3 linked regions of the Macaca fascicularis genome follow. The protein of the gene in region 2 interacts with the protein of the main gene of each other region in a pairwise test. Links are inferred from orthologs where the notes say so. Each region holds a gene or a part of one and is shown on either strand. Other genes may lie near its edges. The genes, in order: TMCC2, HSPD1 and SAMD3.

Evidence for each region.
Region 1: the proteins of HSPD1 (region 2) and TMCC2 interact in a two-hybrid assay, tested with the Homo sapiens proteins (2 studies listed by BioGRID). The two-hybrid records come from large-scale screens. The link is inferred for Macaca fascicularis from reciprocal best matches to the Homo sapiens genes HSPD1 and TMCC2.
Region 3: the proteins of HSPD1 (region 2) and SAMD3 interact in binary tests that used the Homo sapiens proteins (3 or more experiments, as listed by UniProt). The two-hybrid records come from large-scale screens. The link is inferred for Macaca fascicularis from reciprocal best matches to the Homo sapiens genes HSPD1 and SAMD3.

The regions. Positions count from the first base shown.
Region 1 is NC_088375.1:63,075,484-63,085,609, forward strand, and holds part of TMCC2 (transmembrane and coiled-coil domains protein 2), read left to right. Parts: intron 1-7,828; coding exon 7,829-8,371; intron 8,372-10,126.
Region 2 is NC_088386.1:93,113,530-93,124,109, reverse strand, and holds the start of HSPD1 (60 kDa heat shock protein, mitochondrial), read left to right. Parts: upstream 1-5,010; 5' UTR 5,011-5,163; intron 5,164-5,234; exon of another isoform or gene 5,235-5,324; intron 5,325-5,482; exon of another isoform or gene 5,483-5,541; intron 5,542-6,470; 5' UTR 6,471-6,472; coding exon 6,473-6,646; intron 6,647-7,941; coding exon 7,942-8,194; intron 8,195-10,580. Other genes in the region: HSPE1 (10 kDa heat shock protein, mitochondrial), read right to left, coding at 1,785-1,835, 1,915-2,004, 4,066-4,230, 4,865-4,867. UniProt on the Homo sapiens protein: Chaperonin implicated in mitochondrial protein import and macromolecular assembly. Together with Hsp10, facilitates the correct folding of imported proteins.
Region 3 is NC_088378.1:34,198,582-34,209,262, reverse strand, and holds the start of SAMD3 (sterile alpha motif domain-containing protein 3), read left to right. Parts: upstream 1-4,378; 5' UTR 4,379-4,402; coding exon 4,403-4,405; exon of another isoform or gene 4,406-4,547; intron 4,548-4,719; coding exon 4,720-4,819; intron 4,820-5,489; coding exon 5,490-5,679; intron 5,680-10,681.

The sequences.
Region 1 (10,126 bases), on a different chromosome or scaffold from region 2:
GAAACATGCTTATAAAAGTGCCTGAAAACGTGTGCAGTTTAAATAACAGAAGCAAAACAGACACCTCGTCTACCCAAGTCAAGAAAAAAAAAATTGACATTCCCGAGAAGCCCCTGCTTGTTTTCTATTTGTTTATTTATTATATATATTTTTTTTCAAGGCTCAGGGTTTTGATAAAATTTATAGGTCTCAGTTTCTCCTTTTTTTTTTTAAATGTTAGTCAAGCGAAGCAGTGGGAGTGGAGAGTTTCTTCATTTTTTAAATGAAGGAGAAGACAAACTACTTCATAAGAACGTGGGTGGGATGAAGATGTGTGCATTTCCTGGGGCTCTCCAGGAGCTTATGGTTGGGATGGCTCTCTGAGGGCCTGCTGCATCTTGAGGCCCCAGTAGATATGTTAAGGCTTGAAGATTCCTGCAATCTCAGGTGGGAGCCAGACGCCTGGGCTAAGTTTCATCAGAGGAGGTAGAATTGAGGTATGCCTAAAAACAAAGAAATGGGAAATTGGTTATTTGGCCTCACCTCCAGGTGAGCTTCTAGGTCAAATAGGATGAAATACTTGCAAGAAAACCATAGTGGAAATACACATAAGTTTAAGGGTGCTTAATGCATCATGCAGTGCAATCAGAAACTTATGGGGGTTTATCAGGAAAGTTGTTCTGCAAGAGGTGGCTTTAGAGCAAGATTTTTTTTTTTTTTTTTGAGATGGAGTCTCATTCTGTCTCGCTCAGGCTGGAGTGCAGTGGCGCAATATCGGCTCACTGCAGCCTCCGCCTCCTGGGTTCAAGCGATTCTCCTGTCTCAGCCTCCCAAGTAGCTGGGACTACAGGCATGCACCACCATATCCAGCTAATTTTGTATTTTGAGCAGAGATGGGGTTTCATCATGTTTGCCAGGCTGGTCTGAAACTCCTGACCTCAGGTGATACACTCTCTTTGGCCTCCCAAAGTGCTGGGATTATAAGCGTGAGGCACTGTGCACAGCCTAGGGCAGGATTTTAAAGAAGGGGTGGAACATTTATTACCAAACAAGAGAAGAGGGGCTTTCCAAATGGGGGGAGTGAGGTAGCAAGTGCTTTTGTAGGGTCTTTGCCCTGTTTGACTAGAATGGTCAGGAACAATGGAGGGTAGTGCAAATGCTGAAGTTATCTGTTTTGTCCCGCTTGTACCTTATGAGGCAGGCAGAGGGTTGGAAGGCCCAGGATTGCCCCATCCCCACCCCCTCCAACCTTCAGTAATATCCAGAGCAGCCCTGTATGTGGGCTCTGGGGGAACTGGTGACCGATGGGAAAGCATGTGGCAAACGAAGCTCCCTGTTCTCCTGCCACATATTGAGTTCTAGATTAATTCCCAGCTGCCCTAGTTGTTCTAGTGGGAACTGTCTGGCAGGCTCAGTATTTACAGAATGTGCTGCTTTTTGTGTATCTAATTGTGTCTTCACTGCCAATCCCATTAAGAATTTCCTTCAACAAGGAGTTGAAACATCTGATAGGACCTAAATTTTGGGTTGAAGTTTTAAAAGAGTATGGGGTTATCAGGAGCTGGGGAAAAGGGCTCAGGCAGCTTCTCAGTGGTGGTCTTAAAGGCCAACTCAAAACTCATTTCTGTTTTCATCTCTCCCTTAAGAAATGGCATCTGCCTTTGAAATCCCCGTAGACTACTAGCATGGTACATTTTTGGAATGAGGCCATAACTGGACAGGGTCCACCTTTGTCAGCCAAACACTGAAGTCTCTCTTCATGTAAGAAGTTAGAACAAAGCTGTTGGGGATAACAGGTATGTTTTGTGACTGTGCTAGAAAAACAGTTATTTGGCTGAGCGCAATGGCTCACGCCTGTAATCCCAGCACTTTGGGAGGCTGAGGCGGGGGGATCACGAGGTCAGCAGTTCGAGAGTAGCCTGGCCAGCATGGTGAAAACCCGTCTCTACTAAAAATACAAAAAATTAGCCAGGCATGGTGGTGTGCCCCTATAGTCCCAGCTGCTCGGGAGGCTAAGGCAGGAGATTTGCTTGAACCCAGCAGGCAGAGGTTGCAGTGAATTGAGATCACGCCATTGCACTCCAGCCTAGGTGACAGAGCAAGACTCTGTCTCAAAAAAAAAAAAAAAAAAAAAGAACAGTTATTTTCAAACCAAATGACTAAAGGCTTCCTTATGCCAGCCAGGTTAACTGAGTGATGTCCACCAGGGAAAACAAAGCTGGCTATAAGGACATGAGCCCCCCCACCCGAGCCCTCCCTAAGCCATTCTTGAAGACATCACACACATTCTGGCTCCTTGGCCTGTGTTCATCTCCTCCCAAGCCAACTCAATCTTGGCGGTTACTAAGATAATAGAGTGAGAAGAGGGTTTAAACTACAGCAGGAGAAATCTGAGTTAGACACAAGAAAAGGCTGTTGGAGCATTTGAAATATTTGTGAAAGGTTATGTCTTTGGAAAAGATAGCCATCTAAGGATTAAAATCACCTTTGTAAGATGGATTTGTAGAGACTTGGATAGTGGCTGCTCAGAAAATAAATGAACAAATGATTTACGTAGCAGTCTTACATGTTTGTGTTGAGGCCTCTGCCAGGTAATGTTAGGGACACAGATGTAGGTGCTGTAGCTCCTGCTGTCCAGTCACTCATATTGTCCTCAAAGGTTCCGTCCATCAGCAGGTGAGAAGTTGGATAACAGTTGGAGAGAGCACTGGAAGCGATGTCGCAAGGCAGTACACGATTAATTGCAAAATGAGTGGTGCAGATAATGAGCGCTTATGTGTTCAGAGCAGGGTGAAATCGCTGCAGACTGGTGTGATCAGAGAGGTCTTTATGGAGTGGCGAGGTGGTGAAGGATGGGTAGGATGCAAAGAGGCAGAGAGAGGGCACACCATGCTGGGAACTTTAATAAAAGTCTTCTATGTTGGTGTGTGCTGAATCAGTTCTGCCTAAAGACATGGTGGATGAGGTGACCTTTTCCCACTTGCTTTGGCTCCAGGCAGAATTCTCTAAGCAATAAAGGAGAAAGGAATCAAAATAAAATTGAGAATGGGGGAATTATTTGCCTGTGTGCCCATGAGTTGAGACTTTTTTTTTTTTAATGTCAGCTGTGAGGCTGAGAAAGAAAGAAATGATTCCAAAAAGCTTTCATCACTGGGTTTCCAATAGAAACTCCAAGTGGGCCTGAGCAGTTGCAGCTGCCTACTGTACACCACTGTGATCATCAGCACCAAACCTGGGGTAATGGTTCCGCTCCTGCTCCCGCCCAGGCTCCCCACCCAGAGCTTCTTAAGGGCAATTGGAGACTTCTTCAATCCACTTTGGATCCTGAGAGTAGAACTCTGTGGGTTTTTACAGTGATTAGTTCTCTAATGCTGGCCCTGTTTCCATAGAGACCCTATAAATAGAGGAACGTTGGCAACCTAGGCTGGCAAAGGCTCAGGGTGACCCAGTCACCCCACTGAACCCTCACAGCCAAACTGTTGGTAGGGCGGAAGGAGTTTCAAACCCAGGTAGGAGGAAGGGCTATGCAGTCAGCTGCCAGGTGGGAAAATTAGCTATAGATTAGTGTGACTTTAAGCTTTCCTGGGATTTGTTGAGAACACGGGGACCTGTAAAAATTAGAAACCACTTTTGGTCATTTTTAACCAGATGGTGCCAATGACACTGTACCCCGAGACATTTTAGTTTTGGATTTATGCAGCTGTGTTTGCAGATTTTGGAGCAAACTTCCCCTTTGGGGGACCCACACCCAGGGAGAAAGACGGATGAAGCCCAACTGTTCAGAAACCACAGCCTTCTCAGGAAGGATCTTTCAGAAGCCATCTAGTCCTCCCTTTCTTCCTGAAAGGACAATGTCACCCAAGGAGATGGGGTCCTTCCTGCCCTTTCAGATAGTTCCAAGGGAGGGACAGCCAACTCCCCTCACTTCCTTCCTCAGGGCAACTCACCCTGGGAGGCTCTCCTTTCTGACTACCTTCTGGCCAATTCTGGGGACGGCACTTCTTGCTTCGGTCTTATGGATCATGAAAGCCCTGTTTGTGTCCCACCTCTCAGCTCTCTACTACATGGCTTCATTTGGCCACCAGAATGGTTTCTGGCAGCCAGGGAAAAGCAAAAGTCAATGTGGAAAAGCAAGTGACATTTTAGGAGCTGGAACCTGTTAGTCAGAGCAGGTGGTGCTTTCTGCTGCGTTGGCGGCTAAGTTCCCTTAAGCTAGTCACCATGGTTTTCCTCACTTCTGAAACTTGTAGCTGGTTATGTGTATGTGCTGAGTTTTTTTTTTTTTTTTAAACACTTACTGTGTTATGTCAAAACTCCTTAACCATCTCCTCCCTGACACCCACATAAAGAAGCGGCCCAGCCCATGCGTCACTTTGCTGTTCCCGCCTCGCACCTTATAAGTGAGGAAAAACCCCTTCATTTGGAGCAATCTCCTCTCTCCGCACATTGTTCTTTAACTTCTTTTTTGTTCTTTCCCTCCTGCCTGCCACAGACTTTGATAGACTCCTTGGTCTGCTGGGGCAAAGGTCCTGGGGTCTCCTGGTCACTTTCCTTAGGTTTCCTTTACCCACAGGACAGCTCAGGAAGATGGGAAGTAAAGACTTTATAGTTGAGGGTCTTGTCCTATAACATGGGATGGGCAGATCACGACTGCAGTTCAGGGGACCTAACAACCCTTGACCCAGGCATTTTTGTTTTGCTCCTGCCTTTGATACTGTTCTGGGACGCATGCAAATACCCTACCTACTTTAGTCTTGAAATCAGTGTATGGGGCCGGGTGTAGTGGCTCATGCCTGTTATCTCAGCACTTTGAGAGGCCGAGGTGGGCGGATCACCTGAGGTCAGGAGTTTGAGACCAGCCTGGCCAACATGGTGAAACCCTATCTCTACTAAAAACACAAAAATTAGCCAGGTGTGGTGGCACACACCTGTAATCCCAGCTCCTCAGGAGGCTGAGGCAGGAGAAGTGCTTGAACCTGGAAGGTGGAGGTTGCAGTGAGCCAAGGTCATACCATTGCATTCCAGCCTGGGCAACAGAGCGAGACTCTGTCTCAAAAAAAAAAAAAAGAAAAGAAAAGAAAAGAAAAAAAAAAAAGAAATCAGTGTATGGGCCCATGAAGGTAAATTCAATTAGAAGTTGGGGGTTTCTCTCTGTGGCTTGGATGAGCCACTTAGCTATGCTGTGCTTCCATTTCTTCATCTGCAAAATAGACTGATGCTATGATGTCTCACATTTCTAGCTCCTGAGATTAGGCTAGTGTCAGATTATGACAGTATAAATCAGAATGCACTTTGCAAAATGCTGTTGTATAAATTTTAAAAGCAAATTGACCAAAGATTTTAGGCTCCAAGGCAATATGGCAGACATTAGTGGCTGCCATAGCTCTCCTTGGCACCTCCACTGGCCTCCCAGGGATAGGGGAGAAGAAATGCCTCAGAACTCTAGGACCTCTGCTGAAGTCTTTAGAAGGGAAACTCTTTCTGCCTGAGTGGATCCTCAGTGTTGGAGAAGCCAGTTTCGGAATGGGGGGAGAAGAGGAAGAGACCTGGAATAGAATGCTAGAAAGACAATTTGTATTATGGAATGTGACGATTTGGCAGAGGCAGCTGGGCAAATGCCAGAGCCAGCTGGCCCCATCACAGTACCTGGAGGGAGGTCTCGCATCAGCTTGGGCCTAGGGAAGAGGGAGGTGTCCTGGCGTGTCCCTGTTCTGGACACTGCAGGATCTGGCCCGTTCCAAGTCCATGGCAGAGTTGACATCTTGGTTCTTCCCAGCACAGATTCAGGTGAGCCTTGTGATCCTGCCTCAAGCTGGCCCCCAGGGGATGGTAACTCCTGTGGGAAAACCTGGCATTGTGTAACTTAGCATCTCGAGGGCCGCCCCAGAATTCAGTTCTTGAGAGGGAATCGTGGTATCCTTAATTTCCTCATCTCTAAAAGGAGATGTTCCAGTTGTTGGTTTTGTTACTATTTAGGAAAACCAGATAGGATAATGCAGGATACAAAGCTTCTTTAAAATGAAAAACCATTAGTTCGTGATGAGTTGTGATGATGTAATTTATCTGGTCTGTAAAATGGGTGATGTAAGGGCCTCACCTACTTTGAAGATTCTGGGGATGCTCAAATGAGGTGAAAAATGAAAATCCTAATATTTTACACAAATACGTAATGGTGTGGTTATTTGTATCCAGCTGTAAGTGCAGCCATCTGCACAAACTCAAGGCTGAGTTGTAAAGTAACCTAAGAGTGGGGTCAGCTCATTCAGAGGATGTCAGGTTGCTTTTTCTTGGTTTCTATATGGTCTAGATTTTCTGCTCTGTAAGGTTGTTTCTAGGGGAAAAAAAAGAAAATCCAGTCTGTGTAATTTTTTGGAACATTTTTTAAATGATTGAGGCTGCCTGGTAAGATTGTAGGTTGTTCATCACAGGAAATCCTGCTATGGCTCATTGAGTCCCACATGGCTGGGTCCTGAGTTTTCCTCTAAGGAGCTGCAGAATGTGAGGTGTCTCCTGGTCCTCCAAGTCTCACCCCTCCTCCCACTGGCTCCAAAGCTCTCATAGAGGGCTCAGCCTGGCCAGATAAGCCGTCCCCTGACAGAAGCAGCTGTCTGGAATTATCCCACAGTTGCTCGCCCTGGCAGGCCATCCAGCTGCCCCTCTGGGAACAGTCTTGCTGGAGGAGCAGCTGGAAAATCTCAGCGACAGGGCTGAGAGGAAAGGCTGTGGCCAGGGCAGCACTGGGTTGCAGGGCCTCTTTGGGTCTAAGGGGAAAGACACTCATTTGGATAGCTTGTTCCGATGTGTATGCTGAAGAATTGGTCACATTACTGACTATGTCACAAGGTTTGCTCATAGAAGTAAAGTTTATTTCATTGCCAACCGCATCAGGAATGAGATTGGCTGCAAATAACAGAAAATCATACTAGAGTTGTGTAGACAAAGATGGGTTTATTTCATGCAACAAGAATTCCAGGATAGATGTTCACAACTGGTTTGGTGGCTCCATAGACTTTCAAGTTCCCAGGACTGTCCCTTGGGCTCCACCATCTGTGTGCAGGCCCTCATCAGGTTGCAGAATGGCCACTGCATCTCCGGGCACTGCATTCCCATTCCAGATGGGAAGATGTGGAAAGGACCAGTGCCTTTATCAGGAAAGCAAAAGTGTTCCCAGAAACTCACCTTGCTTTTTGTTGGCCCAAACTGTCATGTGGCTACTCCTAGCTGCAAGGGAGTCTGATGAAGCAGGAATTTTTAGCAAAGTGATTTAAGTCCTTGCAGTTTGATTGGTAAGAAAGAAAGAGAAATAGATATTGGGTAGGCAATTAGCAGTGTCTGCTACAACAGTGTAACCTGATTGTATGACCCTGATTTTCCTGGGCGAATGTTGGAATTGGGCATCTTTGGAAATCAATGCTTGGTGGCCTGAAAGAGCTGGTACAGCTTGAAGGGATGTCTAACTTGGAAGGAGGGAAGAACTGGGGCTGGGGGTATCAATGTAGAGGGATACAACCCCATGAGCCAAGTGCTACCTATGTATGCCATTAAGCCTCAGACTGAAGCCCTGAGAGCATCATTCCTAGAAACTCTGAATCTACATTTTGATTGGGAATGTCCTGTGGGAAAACCATGGGGGCACATCTCTTTGGGAATGAAAGGATGGGTCTGGGTTGCCACCTTTTCGCAAAGTGACCTTTTATGCACGACATGCCATCTATAGAGATCTTCCAGGTTCAGATGGCTGCATTAGCTATGCCAGTCCACCAAGGACAGACCCTTCACCTTCACCCCACACTGACTAGGCAATCAAGAGCTTTCCACTCACCAGGGTTCTTCATCTCTCCCCCTTCAGAAAATCCAGCAGCTGTCAGAGGGCTCCATGTTTGGCCACGGTCTGAAGCACCTGTTCCACAGCCGCCGTCGGTCTCGGGAAAGGGAGCACCAGACGTCTCAGGATTCCCAGCAGCAGCAGCAGCAGCAGCAGGGTATGTCCGACCATGACTCCCCAGATGAGAAGGAACGCTCTCCGGAAATGCACCGCGTCTCCTACGCCATGTCCCTGCACGATCTGCCTGCCCGGCCCACTGCCTTCAACCGTGTGCTGCAGCAGATCCGGTCCCGGCCCTCCATCAAGCGGGGCGCCAGCCTGCACAGCAGCAGTGGGGGCGGCAGCAGCGGGAGCAGCAGCCGGCGCACCAAGAGTAGCTCCCTGGAGCCCCAGCGTGGCAGCCCTCACCTGCTGCGGAAGGCCCCCCAGGACAGCAGCCTGGCCGCCATCCTGCACCAGCACCAGTGCCGTCCCCGCTCTTCCTCCACCACCGACACTGCTCTGCTGCTGGCCGATGGTAGCAACGTGTACCTCCTGGCTGAGGAGGCCGAAGGCATCGGGGACAAGGTGAGGTGGGCCTTCTGGGGCAGGGGGAGACTCAAAGGCAAGGGCCATCTGCTGAGGGGCCTTGAGATCTGGGGAGCTGAACCGGGGGCCCTGCCTGGCAGATCCTGACACCCTGCCGCCTGCATAGTTATCTGCCTTGGTTAAAGGAGTCAGATATGACTAGGCCAAAAACAAGAGATGATCCCCAGGATGGCTAATTTTTGTTTCCTCAGGGTTTTGTTTTTCAAAATTGTGTTTTGTTCATACTGGTATTAATGTTGACTTGTTTTCCTTAAATGGGCTATCAAGAAGCAATATGTATAGTAGTTTAAAGCATAGACTGGAAGCAACCCTGGTTCTGCCACTTACTCAGTTAACCTCTTTATGCTTGTGTCACCAGTGGAAAATGAGGATAATAATAGTACAGTTGTAGGACTAAATGAGTTAATATATATAACATACTTGGAATAGAGCCTGGAGTAGTATCATCTTTACTATTGGCACCAACCAAAGAAGATAGGGAATCCGTGAAGGGTGATTTGGGAAGGAGAAAAGCTAGTTTGGCACTTCATGAATTTATATATTCGTTCTTTTATTCATGTAACAAGTATCTATTGAATCCTTATTTTGTGCTACAAGAATGAACAAGCCAGTGTTGCTGTCCTTGTGGAGCTCACTCTAGAAGGGGGACGAGTGGGTGAATGAACAGACAGATGGGAGCTGCTGTGGGAGCTTCAAGGGAGAGGGGACTTGAGGAGAGAGCAAGGAGCTGGCAAAGACCTGTTTGAGGAAACCATTGAGCTGAATCTTAAATAATTTAGCCAGGCAAGAACTGGGAGAGGGGAAGGGGGAAGGGAGGGCATAGGACGTACAAAAGCACACAAGCTGGTGCTGGGGGCTACTGGGGGTTCATTATGGCCAGAGCATCTAGCACTTTTGGGGATTGACAGGTAGGCAGAGGCCACATCACAAAAGGCTTTGCCATGTTGAGTCTGGGAATAGTGTGAAGCTATCAGGGGGTGCTAGGCAGGAAACTGGCAGGACGAGGTCCCTCTAGGTCTCAATATAAAGAGTAGATTGGGGCAGGCACGTGACTCACACCTGTAATCCCAGAACTTTGGGTGGCCGCGGTGGGCGGATCACTTGAGGTCAGGAGTTCAAGATCACTATGGCCAACATGGTGAAACCCCGTCTCTACTAAAAGTACAAAAATTAACCAGGCATGGTGGTGGGCGACTGTAATCCCAGCTACTCGGGAGGCTGAGGCAGGAGAATTGCTTGGACCTGAGAGGCGGAGGTTGCAGCGAGCCAAGATCAAGCCACTGCACTCCAGCCTGGGCGACAGAGCAAGACTCAGTCTCAAAAAAATAAATAAATAAAGAGAAATAAAAGAAATGGGGGAATTCTCTAGTTGAGGAATCACAGGAGAAGGAGCGTGTTTTGAGGGGAAGGTGATGAGTTCAGTTTTGGACCTGTTGAGTTGCAAGTGCCTTTGGGAGCTGTCCAGCTAGGGAGGACCAGCTGGTAATTGGGTCTGTGGGGTAGAGTCCTGAGCCGGGGCCAGTGCTCTGGGAGCTGGCACTGAGGTTGAAATCATGGGTATGGGTGAGGTCTTCAAAGGAGGATGTGTCGAATGAGAAGGAGGCCGTGGACAGATCCAACTGACATATAAGTGACAGGCCAAGCACCAGGAGCCTGAGAGAGAGCAGTCAGATGGATAGAAGTAAACTTGCAGCATAACAAAAGAAAAATGAGCTTGAAGGAGGAGGAAGTAAT
Region 2 (10,580 bases):
CGCCAAGGACAATCATCCCTCAAGGACTATGTGATGCCGTTTTCACGTTGTCTTACGGTAACTTGACAGGACGTCATATTCCTGGTATTAGATGCCAATATCAGGTTAGAAACTACACTGAAGTCTTCCCGTTTCCCACCTCAACTGCACTGAGGTCATACTGACTAGGTGAGCATGTGGCTGTTTTCCAGCCCTGACAAACTAGTGTCAAATAGAAAAGCATAAATATAACCCACCACCATTAAAAAATAATAAGGCAATGTCCTAACTTTAATGTACAGTAGTTGATTTTCCAAAATACTGACCAACTCTTAAACGTTCTAAAAAAAAAAAAAAAAGCTGCCAGGTGTGGTGGCTCACTCAGGCCTGGGATCCCAGCAATCTGGGAGGCCAAGGCAGGCGTATTGCTTGAGCCCAGAAGGTTCGAGACTAACTTGGACAACATGGCAAAACCCCCCATTTCTACAAAAGATACAAAAATTAATACGGCATGGTCGTGCATGCCTGTAGTCCCAGTCACTCAAGGAGGCAGAGGCGGTTGGATCACCTGAGCCTGGGAGGAAGGTGGAGGCCACGGTGAGCCATGATAGTGCCACTGCACTCCAGCCTGGGTGACAACGTGAGACTGTCTCCAAAAAAAAAAAAAGACAAGAAAAAGGAAAGTATAATTATTCCCTCAATTTACATGGTACTTGTGTACCTGGGAATTCAGTATGTTAAACCATGCAAAAAATACTTTGTATTTACATAAATTGGAGTTAGGAATGAAAACCTGTATACACAAATTATGGAACACCTTAAGACCTGTAACTCATTAGCTTGTTGTATTTGGAATCTAAATGTTGCAGTGGTGGCTCAAGCTTGTAATCCCAGCACTTTGGGGCCCGGCGCGGTGGCTCAAGCCTGTAATCCCAGCACTTTGGGAGGCCAAGACGGGGGGGATCACGAGGTCAGGAGATCGAGACCATCCTGGCTGACACAGTGAAACCCCGTCTCTACTAAAAAATACAAAAAACTAGCCGGGCGAGGTGGCAGGCGCCTGTAGTCTCAGCTACTCGGGAGGCTGAGGCAGGAGAATGGCGTGAACCTGGGAGGCGGAGCTTGCAGTGAGCTGAGATCCGGCCACTGCACTCCAGCCTGGGCGACGGAGCCTGACTCCGTCTCAAAAAAAAAAAAAAAAAAAAATTCCCAGCACTTTGGGAGTCCGGGACCAGCCTGGGCAACATGGCAAAACCTGTCTCTACCAAAAATACAAAAATTAGCTGGGCATGGTGGCACGTGCCTGTAATCCCAGGTACTTGGGAGGCTGAGGGAGGAGAATCACTTGAACCCAGGAGGTGGAGATTGCAGTGAGCCAAGATCGAACCACTGCACTCCAGCCTGGGTGACAGAGTGAGACTCCATTTCAGGGGGGGAAAAAAAAAAGTAAATCCATGGCTTGGTATCAGTATCAATCATGTATTAATAAAGCTAAATTCAGTATGAAAATGCACCTACCTAGAAAATCTTGTTTCCCAAAATTCTCTGCAGGTTACTTGAAAAACAGAAAACAGCATAAGCTAGAAAACCCTAAAACCATCTTAAAATAACTAAAGACTAACCACTCATTTACATATTTTTATTTGGAAATGTTTATATCAGCACAAGGAAATAATTTTGGAGACACTGGATGTCATTAGTTTATTATAAAAGAGAACTATGGAAATTATTTACATGATGAAAGATTTCAGAACTTCAGTGGAATGGGCAGCTTCATGTTGATGCCATTTCAATAGTGATTTATTTCAGTCTAGGTACTTTCCAAGAATGTCACCATCTCTAAATAGGAAATAATCCTGCAAGTGAATAAACCGTTAGTTAAGACACCTAATCGCAAATATTTGACTTCTTTTTAGAATTGTTAAGTTTACACACCTTGTCATCTAGAACTACTTTGGTGCCTCCATACTCTGGCAGAAGAACTTTATCTCCAACTTTCACGCTAACCGGTTGAATCTCTCCACCCTTAAAAAAGGAAGGATGTTTATTAGCAAACATATCTAGTTCACCCAACATAAACAGTTAACTTTTAAATCACTACAACTAATGAAACACACTCACTCAAATTCAATTATATTAAAAATACACTTGGTGGCTAAGTGATACGATTCATACTAGAATTGCAGATCTTCACTCAAAAATACCACTGTAGTCACACTTTTGAAATAATACACAGTGGCTTAAACTAAAACCTGACTCCAATATAAAAGTTCAAGAAAATATTCTGGAAAAGCTAACTTTACTTAACTAAAGCTAACTTTGTAACTGTTAAATATTAACGTAACTTATCAACTATATGAAATAAACCTGCAACGGTAGCCAGCACCCAGGAAATGCCATATACAAATGGTCATCTTTTCCTTCAACATACAAAAATGTAATATTGTTTTGTTCCCTCCAAAGTACAGATTTGGGGAAAGGGACTGCAGCTAAGTGTCCACTCCCCAAAGTCTTCCTATTCCTTCCTAACTCCATGACAGCTCCTCAATACAGCTTTCCTCCTCAGAAGCAACTGGAACAATGCAGCTAACATTATTTGGCCCCAGCGGCATTTAGGCATTTACTGTGTATTTTGGCTGACATCTTTAGAAGCCTAAGGCCTAAATAGTTAACTGAGGAACATCTAAAACAGAGGTGTCCAATCCTTTGGCTTCCCTGGGCCACAGTGGAAGAATTGTGTTGGGCCACACATAAAGTACACTAACATTAACAGTAACTAATGAGCTTAAAAAAACTTGCAAAAGAAATGTTTTAAGAAAGTTTAGGGATTTGTGTTAGGTGGCATTCAAAGCTGTCCTGGGCTGCAGGTTGGACAAGACTAACCAACCTGTTCCTCGGATAGGTACACCAACTAAGGCCCCAACTGGTTAAGATTAGGGCAATGTCAATGTGTTAGGGGTTAAACGAATAGTCCAAGATTCCTCTCAATTCTTTTTTTTTTTTTTTTTTTTTTTTTGAGACAGAGTCTCACGCTGTTGCCCAGGCTGGAGTGCAGTGGCGCGATCTTGGCTCACTGCAAGCTCCGCCTCCCGGGTTCCCGCCATTCTCCTGCCTCAGCCTCCTGAGTAGCTGGGACTACAAGCGCCCGCCACCGCGCCCGGCTAATTTTTTGTATTTTTAGTAGAGACGGGGTTTCACTGTGGTCTCGATCTCCTGACCTTGTGATCCGCCCGCCTCGGCCTCCCAAAGTGCTGGGATTACAGGCTTGAGCCACCGCGCCCGGCCTCCTCTCAATTCTTAAATGCCCCCTCATTTTACCTTGAAGCACATCTTTTGTCTTTATTTATTTATTTGTTTAGATACTAGGTCTCACTATGTTGCCCAGACTGGTTTCGAACTCCTGAGCTCAAATGATCCTCTTGCTTTGGCCTCCCAAAATGCAAGGATTATAGGTGTGAGTCACCATGCATAGCATCTTTTGTCTTATTAAAAATTTAGAATGTAAGGCAAACACTGATCATACTAGGCTACCAAATTGCTATTGAAGGCTTTTTTCTTTTTGAGACGGAGTCTTGCCCTGTCGCACAGGCTGGAATGCAGTGGCGGGATCTCGGCTCCCTGCAACCTCCGCCTCCAGGGTTCAAATGATTCTCCTGCCTCAGCCTCCCCAGTAGCTGGGATTACAGGCGGATGCCAGCACACCCGGCTAATTTTTCTATCTTTAGTAGAGACAGGGTTTCACCATGTTGGTCAGGCTGGTCTTGAACTCCTGACCTTGTGATCCGCCCACTTCGGCCTCCCAAAGTGTTGGGATTACAGGCGTGAGCCACAGCGCCCGGCGTATTGAAGACAATTTTTAATACTCGAAACTATCACATAAAATAAACATCATAGCATTGGTCATATAAAATAAGCAACTTTATATTAGTCATTTCCCTTTAAGAAACAGATTAGAACCAAAGCAGTTAATTATCTTGGACATGACATAAATTCTACCTAATAGGAGACTTTTAATACTCCAGAATTACTCCTTTTCCCTCCACTGCACACTATAGAAAAAATAGTTCCACCGCAGCCCCCATTTACCTTTCCTTTAGAACCCGATCCAACAGCGACTACTGTTGCTTGCAATACTTTTCCTTGAGATTTTTCTGGAAGCATAATGCCTCCTTTGGTTACAGTTTCAGCAGCACTCCTTTCAACCAATACTCGGTCAAAGAGTGGAAGAAACTTTCTAAACGCTTGTCCTGCCTGTAGGAAGAGAAATGTTTTGAAACAAAAACTAAATGTAATCATATTATCAACAGGCAACGCCACCGTGTTGTATACATCTCAACACGTTTTGGCTTCGAAAGTTAACACCAAACCTCAGCTTATTCGTTAAGGAAACGCATTTGAATGTACTAACCAATATTCCAAGTTTAATTCCCGATTCCTTACATCTGTTAAGGGTCGTTGTCGCTCCTCTGGTGAGCAACCAGACCAGCTTTAAGGTCAACCTTAGTTTATCCAAGGTCAAATGTTTTCCTTCTTCAGGGTTTTCCAGAAATTTTCAAGAAACGCTGGGTCAATCTCCCTGCCTGGCACCATGCTTTTTACCCAAGATATTACACATCCACAAAGGCCCTGCAGAGCAGGTGGGACGCTGCGCTTGCATCCGGGTTCCCGCCACCTGCCTTACACACCCGCAGCACACGCGCGTGCAAAGAGCCCCCGGAGAAGAAAAGGGTCGGGCAGGCCTTGCCGCTCCAAGGTGCCGGCGGGCGCTGGTCACTGAGTGGCCACCAATCCCTCCCGCCTAGCCCAACAAAAGAGGGGCGTCAGTGATCCCCGTACGCCTCAGACAGGCCCGGGCCTGCGGGCTTCGGTGCCACGCGGGACTCACCATGACTCCCTCCGCCTCAGACTCGTACTCTGCTCTAGTGTAGCGCCGCAAGGAGAGACTCGCGGCAAGGAGAGACTCGCGGCGCAGCCCTGGCGACACGTGAAAAAACCGCCCAGCGCGCAGGCGCGCTCGCCCCAACCCCCGCCGCTAGCCCCCTCGCCCCTCCCCGCGAGAAAGGGCGGTCGCCCCGACGCGCGCCGCGATTCGCCCCAAGGGCCCTGCGCAGGCCGCTGACGCGAAGACTCGGAGGCGGAAGAAAAGAGGAGCTGTTTCTAGGCTTTTCTAGGCGCCCAGCCGAGGTGAAAGAACTACCCCTTCGTCCCCTCCCGGAAATGACGCGATTTTACCCTTGACCCGTAGGGAGCGCGGCACTTTCCGGAAAGTTCTGGAACTGAGCGCGGCCCGGGAACTAGCCTAAGCCGGCGGGAGAGGGCTGAGCGCGCTAGCACACCCTGCGCGGGTAGGGAGGGGCGGGGCTCGCGCGCAGGGTGTGCAGATTGCAGGGGCCCGGCTGACGGGAAGGGGGTGGGAGCTGCCTGCACACGTGGTGCCCCGGGGCGGGGGGAGAGGCGGAGGGAGGGGACACGGGCTCATTGCCGTGTGCGCCCTGCACTCTGTCCCTCACTCGCCGCCGACGACTTGTCTCGCCGCGCGCACGCCCCGCCGCCGCCCCGCAGGTATGCGGCCTTCCCACGCCGCCTTCCCCGGCGCCTGCGACCCCCAAGTGGGCCTTCCTCCTCTGAGGTCCTGCTGGAGGATGCGGGCGACGACAACCTGGAGTTCTGCACCGCACCGCAGGCCCAGGCCCACGGGTCCAGGCCTCCCGGGTCCAGGCCTCCCGGGTCCATGCGGGTTCCATCACGTGCGACGCGGATCCTGGACCTCGGCTGGGCGCAGGAGGGACAACTCACGGGGATTGAATTTGGGGGATTGTAGCCACTTAGGCCCGCTGGTGCAACCCGCGCCTGGTCGACTTCGGGGAACCGGGGAGGGTGGTGTACGCGAGGGAACCGCTTTTTTCCCCCGCAGCTAGCTGGGATACCGCGCCTTCACTCTTGACCTTGCTGGGGGCGTTCGGAAAGACGTGGGCCCGCGCCGAGTGGGCCGGGCCGCCGCCCCCAGCATCGCGGCCTTGCTGGCTGCTCTGATACAGTAGCCTTGGGTGGATCCATGGAGATACTTTGCTGAGCTGCTTTTTGCACCGCCAGGAATACTTTCAGCTTCCCTGGTCACTGGGATTTGTAACTTGCCTCTCTCCGGCTGACTTGGTTTCTCAGGGGCCACAGTTGGAGTGGGTCTGCCCACAAGGCCGTTTTCGCGGTGAAAGATTAACTCGTTTTTGGCGGCAGGGATAGGTGGCCGTGGGGAAGGAGCTGCATGTGCTTTGTGCTAGTGCTATAGGTCAGGCGCCGGGGCGGCTCTTTAGCTTGCGGTAGTGGCTGATGTTCCGAAGCTGCGGCGCCTTCCGTCATTCAGGTGTAGTGGCTGGCAGAGGTCAGCCAGGCTCACCATCTCACGTTGCTTGCTCTGTTGCACAGGTGCGCATGTTTGTGCTGCAGCGCATCATAGGTGGTAGTACTGATTATCTATTTGCTTCCATCCCCAGAAATGCTTCGGTTACCCACAGTCTTTCGCCAGATGAGACCGGTGTCCAGAGTACTGGCTCCTCATCTCACTCGGGCTTATGCCAAAGATGTAAAATTTGGTGCGGATGCCCGAGCCTTAATGCTTCAAGGTGTGGACCTTTTAGCCGATGCTGTGGCCGTTACAATGGGGCCAAAGGTATCAGTATTTTTATTTTATTATAATTATGGTAGTATTAATAGCATTTTGCTCACAAATAGTCGCACTGAACTGTTGAACAGTACTTTCGTATCCATTTTTGAGAACTCAGTTTACATGTAAGAATTCTGAAGTATTGGTTAACTTTTTTTTTCTTAGACATGATCTTAAAGCTTAAACTGCTTCAGCCAGATTTTCGAAACTAGTTTGTTCAATGTGTGATGTAATCGGGTAGTAACATAGCTCAAGATGGATTCTTAAACTCGAGGTAGAATTTTGCTTGCCTAAGTTAAAATTTGGATCCTTTCTGAGTAGTTCATGCCAAGTGTAGAGAGAAGAGTTTAACTTATCTTCCATAATCCCTCAGGTATGTGCTTGTAGGTGCTAAATTTTTTTTTTTTTTTTGGTTTATTGTAAAATGTACACAACATAAAATTACCATTAAGTGTGCACTTTGGGGACATGGGGACATTAATTACATTTATGTTGTGCAGTCACCACCACCATCCATCTCCAAAACTTTTTATATGGGAAAATTGTAATTTTGTACTCATTATACAGTAGCTTCCCATTCTCTCCTCCACCTCAAGATGCTAGTTTTACCTATCGGTTTTCTGCTGTTCTCTTGTTCCGAAGCATATTTAAAATAAGTCTCATTTAATAGGGGTAATATTTTGAGGGGGGCTTTGAAGGTGGTGTGCGGTCAAGTGGTGCTTCATTTCAGTTTGAAGACAGTTCAGATATCAAGTGATCCAAACAACTGCATAAAACACAACATTTGCACACCTCACGAATAGAAAGTAGCAGCTTTAGTTCAAATCCAAAGGATGGTCAATAACTGTGCCATGGTTGAAGTTGTATGTTGAGTGAACTTGGAAGAGCACACTACTTGCCTTGATGGTTAATATTTTAAACGAATTTTAAAACAAGTCACATTGCTTTAAAAGATAACAGGCACTAACTAAAACTTAGGTATAAGTGATAGGAAGATTGTTTTATTCTTTGTCTTGTGTTCTTGTTCATTTTATAAGATGACAAATTTTAGTCCCTAGTATTTTAATCTTCTAAATTACTTAGTTCAAAATTATGCTCTTGGCAGAGAAACAGGTCATTCTGTCTGTAGACAAAGAATGTCGATAAACTTGCCCTTGAGATTCATGCTGCAAGACTGATAAAAATGACACAACTTATGTGGAGACTTTGAAGTAGTTGCTTTATTATGAAGACTGCTCATTTTTTAAAATATAAGTAATCCTTAGGGTATGTGTGATCCTGTTACATTTTTTTTCTTGTAGGGAAGAACAGTGATTATTGAGCAGAGCTGGGGAAGTCCCAAAGTAACAAAAGATGGTGTGACTGTTGCAAAGTCAATTGACTTAAAGGATAAATATAAAAACATTGGAGCTAAACTTGTTCAAGATGTTGCCAATAACACAAATGAAGAGGCTGGGGATGGCACTACCACTGCTACTGTACTGGCACGCTCTATAGCCAAGGAAGGCTTCGAGAAGATTAGCAAAGGTGCTAATCCCGTGGAAATCAGGAGAGGTAGGAATGTCTATTGTCACTACAGTGTTCTAAACTTCAGTGTGCTTTAAGGCATTGATTCCTTGGAGCTAAGGAGAGTGTCTGTTACTTTAGGAAATTGATCCTTCTCTCATTCCTCTTGGCCTGGAGAAATCTTAAACTGGGTTTTCCTTTAGCAAGTAGTGATTGAATGCCTGGCTGTATGGTGGGTAGGTACTGTTAGGTAATTTTGATGTTTTACTTAGTTGGTTTCTTTTGTTTTTAGAGACAGGGTCTTGCTCTGTAGCCTAGGCTGGACTGCACTGGAACTCCTGGACTCAAGCAATCCTCCTGCTTCAGCCTCCAAGTAGCTGGGACTACTACAGGCACTCACCACCATTCCTGGCTAATTTTTAGTTTAGTTTTGTAGAAAGTAAGATTGAATACACTGGATCATTCAGAATGTCAGAAAGTAATGTTTTTTGTTTTTTGTTTTTTGTTTTTTGAGACGGAGTCTCACTCTGTAGCCCAGGCTGGAGTGCAGTGGCCGGATCTCAGCTCACTGCAAGCTCCGCCTCCCAGGTTCACGCCATTCTCCGGCCTCAGCCTCCAGAGTAGCTGGGACTACAGGCGCCCGCCACCTCGCCCGGCTAGTTTTTTGTATTTCTTTAGTAGAGACGGGGTTTCACGGTGTTAGCCAGGATGGTCTCGATCTCCTGACCTCGTGATCCGCCCGTCTCGGCCTCCCAAAGTGCTGGGATTACAGGCTTGAGCCACCGCGCCCGGCAGAAAGTAATGTTTTCCTCAGTTTATTTTTTTTTATTTTTTTGAGACAGTCTCGCTCTGTCCCCCAGGCTGGAGTACTGTGGCGTGATCTACGCTTACTGCAAGCTCCGCCTCCCAGGTTCACGCCTCCCAAGTGAACCTCCTGCCTCAGCCTCCCGAGTAGCTGGGACTACAGGTGCCCACCACCATGCCCAGCTAATTTTCTTTATTTTTTAGTAGAGATGAGGTTTCACCGTGTTAGCCAGGATGGTCTCGATCTCCTGACCTCGTGATCTGCCTGCCTCGGCCTCCCAAAGTGCTGGGATTACAGGCATGAGCCACCGCGCCCGGCCCATTAGTTTATTTTTTCTTAATAGCACACACCGTGTTATTGGTTTGTGTTTTGTTAGTGCTTGTAACTGGAGTGCAACTTAATTAACAGATTTGCTCCTCAGCATGAACTTCATGGCAGTGTAGACTTAAATTCTAGTCCCATCTTTGTCATTTATTAGCTGTGTGCTAAGACTTGGTTTTCCTATCAGCAGAATTGCTGTGTATATCCAGCGTATGTTAGGGTTGAAACCAGGAACCCTCTTGTGAGTGAAGGTGGGGGAGCTATTGATAATTTTTTGTCAGAATTGGCATACTAATGTATCATTACCTCATATATTTCAATGTTTATGGACCAAGTGACTACACTTCACTAAAAGCAATTTTTTTTTTTTTTTTTTTTTTTTTTGAGACGGAGTCTCGCTCTGTAGCCCAGGCTGGAGTGCAGTGGCCGGATCTCAGCTCACTGCAAGCTCCGCCTCCCGGGTTCACGCCATTCTCCTGCCTCAGCCTCCCGAGCAGATGGGACTACAGGCGCCCGCCACCTCGCCCGGCTAGTTTTTTGTATTTTTTAGTAGAGACGGGGTTTCACCGGGTTAGCCAGGATGGTCTCGATCTCCTGACCTCGCGATCCACCCGTCTCGGCCTCCCAAAGTGCTGGGATTACAGGCTTGAGCCACCGCGCCTGGCTACTAAAAGCAATTTTACTGTAAATCACTAACAAGTATTAAGGTTATGAAGAGGACTTCCCAACACTTTGCATTGGATTTTTTTTGAAGTAACATTTCTCAAACAACAAGAGAGCTAGCACTACTCCCAGTTGAGCAAAATAGGACTGTTAAGAGTGATGTAAAACAAAAATATTTTGTTAGTTCATAATACATACTAAATTGAGGGGTTTTCAGATAATTGACACCTGCAGAGGCATAGTCACAACAGATTCCTATCACTTAAGAACTATACTTCTTGTTGAAAATAAGGGAGTGTTAACCATTTTGGTCCTTTTTTGCATCATCTAATGGACATGAGAAGTGTTGGGGACCCTACTGAAAACAGGCAGCATGATTGAGTTAGGAATAATTTGCATAGGATGAGTTCAGTGGTGAGACTCTTGAAACTATACATATCTACCTTGTTTTAGTCCTATTTTCTTTTTTTTTTTTTTTTTTTTTTTTGAGACGGAGTCTCGCTCTGCCACCCAGGCTGGAGTGCAGTGGCCTGATCTCAGCTCACTGCAAGCTCCGCCTCCCGGGTTCACGCCATTCTCCTGCCTCAGCCTCCCGAGGAGCTGGGACTACAGGCGCCCGCCACCTCGCCCGGCTAGTTTTTTGTA
Region 3 (10,681 bases), on a different chromosome or scaffold from region 2:
TGGAGGTGTTGTGAATTACAGACAACTCTGGTAAGTCTTGCTAGATAAAAAGAACCAACAGAGACACTAATCTTTATAAAAGTAAGATTTTAATAACTTAAGCCATAGGAAATTACTGATCTTGAATTCTTATATGTACAAAAATGGCTGTTTCAGCAGAATTCTCAATTGCAAAAATGTGGGACCAACCCAAATCCCCATCAATCAACAAGTGGATAAAGAAACTGTGGTATATATATGATGGAATACTACTCAACCACAAAAAGGAATGAATTAATGGCATTTGCAGTGACCTGGATGATATTGGAGACTATTATTCTAAGTGAAGTAACTCGGGAATGGAAAAACCAAATATCATATGCTCTCACTCATAAGTGGGAGTTAAGTTATAAGGATGAAAAGGCATAGGAATGACACAGTGGACTTTGGGGACTTTTGGGGACTCAGGAAAAGGTGGGGAAAAGGGTGAGGGATAAAAGACTACAAATTGGGTGCAGTGAATACTGCTCCAGTGATGTATGCACCAAAATCTCACAAATTACCACTAAAGAACTTACGCATGTAACCAAACACCACTTGTTCCCCAATAACCTATGGGAATAAAAATTTTAAAAAAATAAAATAAAAATAAATCCTTATAATTTAAAAAATGACTGTTTCATATGCTTTAGCATAATGGATACAGACAGCCCCTTTTGGTGTGTTTCACCTGCTTGGTGTCTGCAAGCTTTATAGATGTCACTCCCTTTCAGACCAGGATGTATGAAAAAAATTAATAGTTTTGTTCCTTAAATGTTTAAAACATTAATATAAATATCTATGTTTTCAAAAACGAAGGAAAATTGGTGCATGTATGAATGTTTAGTAAAGGCTAAGGCCTTCCATCTCATACACAATTTGCTTCAAGAAAGAATGCTTTTCTGTCATTTATTTGACTCAGCTGCCTAAATAATCTTTCCAAAGCATGGAACATACTCTCAGTTCAATGACTCTCCCAAGCTTAGGCATATCTATAAACTCTTAACATTCTAAGCCTTTCTGCAATCTTCAGACCCTGTCTCCTGTGGTTCCCTACCATGTGGTGCCTATTCCAAGCAGCATGGTCCTCCCTGAGGTTCCAAAACATGACTCGTTTATTTCTGGTTTTTTACTTTGAGTTCATTACATTGGTCCTGCTTTCTCCAGTTTTTTTGCTATCTAAACTATGTCCATTATTTAGATTCCAAATCAAGATCCATTTGCTTCCAGGACACTGTGGGAAAATCCAGCCTCAGGGTGCTTTCTAAAGCATCCATCATAATTGGCTGTATATCATATTCTGCTTATCTATGTATCTTATCTTCTTAGTAAGGCTTCTAACTTCTTTAGTGTATCATCATCCACCCCACTTTGGGCTAGCTATCTAGTCAGTAAACATCTTGGTGACTAACATATGCAAAGTATTTGAGTTGAATATTTCAGTGTTTATTTCATGTGGTCTGGCGATGGTTGGAAGAACATCATCAGGCCATAGTGGATGAGATGTTATGTTCCATTGGAACATCATGCTGCTATTGAGACACCGGAGTACGAAGAGGTCCCTGGAGAACCTCCAACCAGCCTGCGCACTAAGAGAATGGCATGGAGCCACGGAAGTTCACGCAGTTTGCAGCAAGGAGGACCTGGCCTCTCTTATCCTGGTGTGGGAACTTGGAATTCAATCTGTGAGATGAGAAGCATATACTAGCAGGACTCTCGCTCTGCTGAGAGCCAGTTTCCCCTTATTTTCCTTTTCGCCCAATAAATTCCTTTTTTCTCACCCTTCAAAGTGAATGTGAGCCTTATGTTTCATGGCTGTATGACAAGAACCCAACTCTTAGCTGAACTAAAGAGAGAGTCCTACAACACTATCACCTCCCATGGTAGCAAGGCTGCTACCCAAGAGAATTGCCCCGACATTGTTGTATGTGACAGCCACATCCTTATTTTTGTACCTCAATTTTCCTTCTTTTATACACGCGCAGCCTGGAACTGATTTTTGATAAATGTTTCGTCCCTTCAAGTTCAGCCACGGTAGGAGATACTTTTTCTCAGGGCAGAATGAGGTATTGATCCAGGAGACGGCATATGCTGCCAGCAAAACTTTTAGGAATCTTTTATTGTCTCAGCTTTTGGACTTCAGAGGAATAAAACTAAAAATGCAAATAGAAAGAAAGATGACAAAAAGTGTTCATAGTTTCTTAAAAAGTGCTCTTTGGTGGTTGATGTTTTTATGTTAGATTGCCCCTTGAAGATTATAAATCACATTCACAGCAGATGACCCTATAATCTTCCTTTGTAGTTTTAACAAATTTATTAAATAAAGCTTACCCATATTCAGGCTGCTTTAGCTAAAGTCTTACCTCTTCTTGGCTTTAGTTAGATGAAGCCCTGTAATATTTAATACAAATTTATTTTCTTGATTTTTAATTCAATCAAATAATGGAATGGTTTAGCAGGAGCATTCATACATAATTCTTCTTAAAAATTATTAATCTTTAATTATTAATTCTTCTTAAAGAATTATTAATTCTTTAAGTATTAAAGAATTATTTTATTAAAGAATACTTTAATTAGTAAAGTATTATTAATTCTTCTTAAAAATTATTGTGCCTTCAACTATTTAGGGTTAATGCTTGCCTTCACATTTTGAAATATTTTCAGATGTTTCTGAAGCTCAGAATAAAGCTACCAGATATATCTTTTCTCATTTGATATATAGTTTATGCCTTCATGGTGTAGAAGATCATAAATAACATATCCATAATTTATGTGAGAAGAAGTTGTAACGTTACTACTCAAAAGATGTTACATTGTTTAGTCAGTGATACCGTTTTATAAACTCTCCAGAAAAACTACTGGGCAAAAACTATATGCTTTTTAATGTTATTATGTTTGTATGACATTATAATTTAACCTGTTTTCTTTTTCCCAGAAGTAGAATTGTGGTAAAAATCTGCAAATTTAAAAATACGTGACCATTTCCAAGTACTCATTTTATTTTCAAGTTTCCTTTTATCCATAGATGACTATAAGGCAGTATCTTCTGCTCTGCATACCTTTTTATCGTAGAGCTTAGAGAATTGTTTTATTTTTTCTTTATTTTCTATTTTTTCCCTAAGTCCTAATCTTCGCAAGGAAGCCAGAAGTGTGACAGAAAGGTGTGATTTTTAATTTACACCAGAGTCTCGCAAATAATGACTTTTCACACCCTGCTATTGCTGCTTAGCCTAGGGGAGGAGTTATATGGCTACTGTTTGTCATAGCAAATTAAATCCACTGCTGAAATTCAGAAAGATGTTCTTCTATATTTAACCCTTGTTTTCAATTTTTCAAGTTGGTGTTTGTGAATACTTATGAGTATGAGGCTTAATACTTTGAAGTCTACCTGTTTTTCTAGGAAATGATTCTTGAAGACTATCTTTCCAGCTTGTCACATATGCAAGGTAAACATCTTTCCCCTTTTCCACTATTTTAACTATAATGTTCGTAATTGTAACTTATTTAAATATACAAAAATGAAAAATACAACAATAGTTCTATTTAAAACTTCCATCAATAAAATTTAAATTCACGACTAATAAACATTTTTATCTTTCCTTATGATTCCATTTCTCCAAGAGTAGCTTTTTCCTTGGTCTTTATAGAATAGTCAGTATCTTAATGTACAAGTAAATCTATATCATTTAGATTGAGATTTCAAATTGACAAGTAATGATAAAAGGTTAAAATATTTTAAATTTATTTCAGTTCCCTCCCCACCCACCCCGCCTCCAAGTCCATCAGAAGTCCTTTGGATTTAATTACAAAAACCAGAAATAAGCTTCCTTAGGGAAATAGCTTTAAGTTTTCTAAGTGGTTGGAGACAAGCGGCATGCAAAAATAACTGAAATAGTTAAAGAATGTATCTTGCAAACTTTGCCTACGCTTCTTTCACAATAATTATTAACATATTTAATTATTTTCCAATTTTGAATATGCCCAATTAAGTAAAAAATTTTCAGTCAGAGTGGTAGTTTATCCTAGTTATCTCACCAATCATAACAGTGTCCAATAGAGTTCTAGAACTCAGAGGGATATGTAAGAGTAGTATTGGAAGGAAGGACAGAAACATTCAGATTCTCCTGAGAAATTTGGGTCCTACTTCCTCCTCTTGCTAAAGGAAAACAATGAGAAGCAGTAAGTTACAATCTCCTTCTCCTAGCTAGGAGAAGCAAGGGGTTAACCAGTCTTGGTTTACTAAGTATCTCTGTCAGGCTTTTATCTGATCCTTCCTCCCTTCCTCCCCTGCCCACCCCTTCTGTAAATGTCAACCACTTCCTGAGGAGCCTGGTACTGGTGAATTTCACACCTTTCTTTTCTTTGTGAAGAAACCTGGGTGTTAATGGTACAGGATTGGGTACCATTGTGTGTCTCTGGCTGTCTGTTAGTAAAGCTTAGGATGCCTGTGGAAAAAAAGTAGGAGAAGGTGAAGAAATCTGAGAAATGAGATACTAGGAAATAGTTTTAAATCAGGTCTTATTTTTAAAGTGAGTGTGTGTTTTGTTAGCAATTTTTAAATGTACATTGTAAAAATCGTAATTTTTAAAAAGCTTAACATTGAGAGTATAAAGGAGTCTAGCAAAGGAAGGGGCTATTAAAAAAAATTAAGGCACAATCAGAAAGAAAAGCTGGAGAATTCTCTGACCTTTTGCTCTACAGGTATATTTACAGGAGACAGCAATGGAAACTTGGTCAGTTGAGCAGGTCTGCAGTTGGTTGGTGGAGAAAAATTTAGGCGAGCTAGTTCATAGGTTTCAAGGTGAGTTGTTTATACTTTCCAAAAATTTTAATTGAGCAACCTAGATATTCTGATGTCCTCTCTTACTGAAAATTACTTTTGTTGCCAAATGTCTGTGTGCATGTAAATGTGGATGTGGGGTTGCTGCAGTAGAGAACTTTACATTTCTTTATGGACTGTAGCAGAGTTTCCACTTGAAAGTAACATCCACAGGAGAATATAGTGTTTCAAGAACTCAAATAAAATAAAGTCTTACGGGTCATTTAAAATACATATTTGATATATGCATTTAATATTGCTTTTGTTCTTAAGTAATACAGTATGTACTTTTTGTAGTGTTGGGTTTATAAGGTTCAATACCGGCTAGGAGGTATTACGAAGAATAATTTCCTAAGGTTTTTTTCTTTATAAAACAATACCAGTTAGAGAGAACTAGAATGGGGAGGGTGTTAATGTGGAAATAATAAGTTTTTTATTGTGATTCCATGTTCTGGTGCTTTCTTAGGACCAGGCATTGATTTGGAATTATGCAACATTGGAGTTCTGTCTTTGTCAAAAATATGGATACATTTATAATGGCAGGGGACAAGTTTAGATGATCCTTTTATCACTAGAGGGAATTTTGCCTCTTCAGAATGCCTGTGTTTTGCCAGAAAGCCATGTAGAAACTAATTTTTTTTCTATTTCCCAGAGGAAGAAGTAAGTGGGGCCGCTCTTCTCGCACTTAATGATCGGATGGTTCAGCAACTGGTAAAGAAAATTGGGCACCAGGCTGTTCTGATGGATTTAATTAAAAAATACAAGCAGAACACTCAAGGACTGAAGTCCCCAGAAAACCCCAAAGAGGCAGCCCTGGTCATGCAAACAGAAGCAGCCCGAGAGTGAGTATGTTCATAAATGGCCTTAATTTTTTTTTTTTCCCGTTTTCCCAATGGTGTCTAGAGCATGACGTTTGGGTTTAAAGCCCTTTGAAAATTGTGATCATTTTCTGCTAGACTGTATGTACAGTATTTCTAATATTTGAGCAAAGGACGTTGTAAAATTTTAAGAGTCAAGAAACTTTCTTATACACCATTTTTTAAACACTGATTCCAATCATTAGGGAAGTCCTATTAGCAAGGAGTTTCTATGTAAAATGCTGTGGAACAAGCAGGTGAAATAGACATGTAACAGAAGGAGAAACGGATCCTGAAGCTCTGGTTTTAAGATCAGGCTTTGGAAAAGGCATCTTGATTGCTCCTTTGCTTTTCCCAAAACTGTTTATTTATTAATCTAGTTATTTATTTTCCTAGGATTTCTTAGAGTAATGAACTTACACTCTCCTCTACTTGCCTTTACGATGTAATTTGCTAAACACATTATTGTCACATGAGTTTTCTAATTTTTTAAGAGTATCCTTATAATAATGAATACTATGAAACACCCCAAAAAATCATGTAGAAAAAGTAGTGGTGGCAGATAAAAGCTCTGAAGTTTGGGGATGGTTTTATCTGTTTGTTTTTTAATCACTGACTTCTGCAATGGAAAGAAATGATACAGGATTTATAAGGCTGAAATTTTCATTTTACACATCCATCTATGCCCTGGGATCATTTCAGCCATTCTGATTTGATTTTTCCATTTTCAAGATTTTTTTGTAAGGTTTCTAAGATTAAATAAATTTTAAAGATTTTGATGATTGATAAAATCTATTCTATGTTTTTACTTTAATTTTTTGAGATTAGATTGGTAATAATAAAGATTTCTCTCTTTCTCCTTGATAAGTAGTATAATGGTAGAGACCTGACATAAGCAAGTTTATTTCTAGAATATTTGAATATTTGGGACATGGAGGGGAATAGGTAGCCTTGAAGGGATGGTATAGAGCTGGACTGGAAATTCTACTAATTGATTTTTTTTTAAAAAAAGCTTTTTGGTTTTTTTGGAGATGGATCTCAGTCTGACCCCCAGGCTGGAATGCTGTGGCAGGATCATAGCTCACAGCAGCTTCGAATTCCTGGGCTCAAGCAATCCTCCTGCTTCCGCCTCCCAAGTAGTTGGGATTACAGGCACTCAACACCATGCCTGGCTAATCTATTTTTATTTTTTTAAACAAATGGTGGTCTCACTATGTTGCCCAGGTTGGTCTCCAACTCCTGGCCTCAAGCCATCCTCCAACCTCAGCCTCCTAAAGCGCTGGGATTACAGGCAAGAGCTGCTTCGCCCGGCCCCCAGCTGATTTATTTGAAGGATTTCTAAACATTGTTTTGGCATATCTGTGTAAAAGAGGACACTCTTGAACATGTAAGTTTTGATGAAGTTCCCATTGCAAGCTTTTACTCCTTCCCAGCAAGGGAAGGGTAGGAACCTGAAAGAGAGATCAGGGTAATTTCCTTGTATTTTGGGATGAGTAGGACTTTTGAGCTGGAAGTTCCCTTCCATTGAGTGGAATCTTGATATTGCCTTAGGCACAGCTTAGAAGAAAACAGGCAGTCTTGTTTCCACTGCAAATCAGTTTGTAATGTTCTCAAGCAAAAGAGAACTGGCTGGACTGCCAGGAAACCTGGGCTTCCTTCCTCGTTCTACCACTGACTTGGATTGATTATATTAAATGTTGGCATTCCTGCTTCTTCATCTGTACATTGTGAAAAGTAATATGGTACTTACCTCGTCTTTAATTCACACTGATGTTAGGAGTATCACAATCTTTGAGCAAATCTGTCCTTTTTCTCCTAGACTAAAATAGTCCTGTGTTAAATATGAAACTTTGTTAACCGGGTTAAGAAAGCTAGTTTCAAACATGGCCAAGACTGGGACCACTGTTTGTCTGGGGATTTATGAGTGGGGACTTTGCACTCTACCCACAAGCAGCTGACTCACCTTAGGGATTTGTTTGTCTTGTATTTAGATTAAATTCTTCTGGTGCAGAATTACAATTGCATGTGAGAAGAGAAAACTTACTGCTTTATATTTGATTAAAATGCTTGTTGGTTGTATTTGCTTATTGTCAAATATATTTATTAACTATGTTGTCACTTGACAATCATCAAGGAGAATGATAGTAGAAAGAGGTATGAGAATACGCTGTGTAATTAAACCCCCTTAGAGAGTGTTTAATAAAGATAGGAGACTTGGTGTACAGAAGAACCCTGAAGCTAGCTATCAAGACACCTGATTTCAACCCCCTGTCATGATATTAGCCCTTCATCCAGCCTTGGAAATTTGTCTGACCCCTTTTAGTTTTAGCTTCTTCAATTGTAAAATGAAGTAGATAGAATAAGTGATACTTTAGGTCCCTTCTAAAGAGTCTGTGATGGCATTCTAGATCTGAGATAGCTGATAGGTTTCCGTTTGAGTAGATTCCCATTAATGGCTAGTGGTTGCCTGTGTGAACCCAAAAGTCTCTGAGACAGGTCTCAATCAATTTAGAAAGTTTATTTTGCCAAGGTTAAGGATGCATCTATGACACGGCTTCAGAAGGTCCTGATGACATGTGCCCAATGTAGTCAGGTACAGCTTGCTTTTATACATTTTAGGGAGACATAACACATTAGTCAGTGTAAGATTTACATTTGTTTGAACTGGAAGCGCAGAACAACCCAAAGCTGGGGCTTCCAGATCACAGGTGGATTTAAAATTTTTCTGATTGGCAGCTCAGTGCAGTGGGTCACGCCTGTAATCTCAGCACTTTGGGAGACCAAGGCGGGCAGATCACTTGAGGTCAGGAGTTCGAGACCAGCCTGACCAACATGGTGAAACCCCGTTTCTACTAAAAATACAAAAATTAGCCAGGCATGGTGGTGGGTGTCTGTAATCCCAGCTACTCAGGAGGCTGAGGCAGGAGAATTGCTTGAACCTGGGAGGCAGAGTTTGCAGTGAGCCGAGATCATATCATTGTACTCCAGCCTGAGTGACAGAGCGAGACTCTGTCTCAAAAAAAAAAAAAAAAAAAAGCCAGGGGTGGTGGCTCACGCCTGTAATCCCAGCACTTTGGGAGGCAGAGGCAGGCGAATCACGAGGTCAGGAGATTGAGACCATCCTGGCTAACACGGCGAAACCCCGTCTCTACTAAAATTAGCTGGGCATGGTGGCGGGCACCTGTAATCCCAGCTACTCAGGAGGCTGAGGCAGGAGAATGGCGTGAACCCAGGAGGCAAAGGTTGCAGTGAGCCGAGATTCGGCCACTGCACTCCAGCCTGGGTGACAAAGCAAGACTCCGTCTCAAAAAAAAAAAAAAAAAAATTCTGATTGGCAATTGATTGAAAGAGTTATTATCAATAGAAATGTCTGGGTTATAAGGGGTTGTGGAGACTAAGGTTTTCTCATGCAGATGAAGCCTCCAGGTAGCAGGCTTCAGAGAGAATAGATCATAAATGTATCTCTTTTTTGTTTGAAATGGAGTCTTGCTTTGTCTTCCAGGCTGGAATGCAGTGGTGCTGTCTCGGCTGACTGCAACCTCTGCCTCCCAGGTTCAAGCGATTCTCCTGCCTCAGCCTCCTGAGTAGCTGGGCTATAGGCGCCAGCCACCACGCCTGGCTAATTTTTTGTATTTTTAGTAGAGATAGGGTTTCACTGTGTTAGCCAGGATGGTCTTGATCTCCTGACCTCGTGGTCCACCTGCCTCGGCCTCCCAAAATGCTGGGATTACAGGCATGATCTACCATGCCTGGCCCATAAATGTTTCTTATTAGACTTAATGTCTGTGTTGATGTTAATGCTGGTCAACTTTTCCTGAATTCTAAAAGGGAGGAGGGTATAATGAAGCATGTCCAACCTTCCCTTCCCATCATGGCCTGAACTAGTTTTTCAGGTTAATTTTGGAGTGCCTTTAGCTGAGAGGAGGGGTCCATTCAAATGGTTGGGGGCCTTAGAATTTTATTTTTGGTTTACACCTGGCTTTTTTTTTTTTTTTTTTAATGGAGTTTCACTCTTGTTGCCCAGGCTACAGTGCAATGGCACGATCTCAGCTCACTGCAACCTCCACCTCCCAGGTTCAAGTGATTCTCCTGCCTCAGTCTCCCGAGTAGCTGAGATTACAGGTGCCTGCCACCACGTCCAGCTGATTTTTGTGTTTTAAGTAGAGACAGGGCTTTGTCATCTTGGCCAGGCTGGCCTCAAAATCCTGACGTAAGGTGATCCACCTGCCTTGGCCTCCCAAAATGCTGGGATTACAGATGTGAGCCACCATACCCGGCCTGGCACGTTATTTTAAAAAGGATTTGTAGGCCACTTCTGGGCAGGATATTTAGCATCTTGTTGATACCTCAGCAAATGATGGGGATATGAAATAGGCGGGCATATTTGCAGTTGCTTTTTGGTTGTTGTTCTTGTTGAAACTGGTAGAAAAATCATTGGTCAGGAAGGTGAAAAACTGAGTTCAAATCCTGGCACTGCTACTGAGTAGCTCACCAGGAGTTGCTTTGCCTTCTAGGCTTCAGTTGCTTTACTTGGAAAATGAGGGAGTTAGTAGAGTGTGTTTCTAAGATCATGAGGTTTCACAGATAATAAAATGTCTCCCAAAGTGGCAGAAAGCAGAGTAGGGATCTGAGAGTTTACCATTTAATTTTGCCAGACAAGAATATTAGCTAAAAAAGAAACATTCTACAATCACCATCATTTCATAAAGGAAAATATTGTCTTTTTTTTTTTTTTTTTTTTTTTTGAGATGGGGTCTTGCTCTGTAGCCCAGGCTGGAGTGCAGTGGTGAGATCTCGACTCACTGCAAGCTCCGCCTCCCGGGTTTATGCCATTCTCCTGCCTCAGCCTCCCGAGTAGCTGGGACTACGGGCGCCTGCCACCACGCCTGGCTAATTTTTTGTATTTTTAGTAGACTCGGGGTTTCACCGTGTTATCCAGGATGGTCTCGATCTCCTGACCTCGTGATCCGCCTGCCTCAGCCTCCCA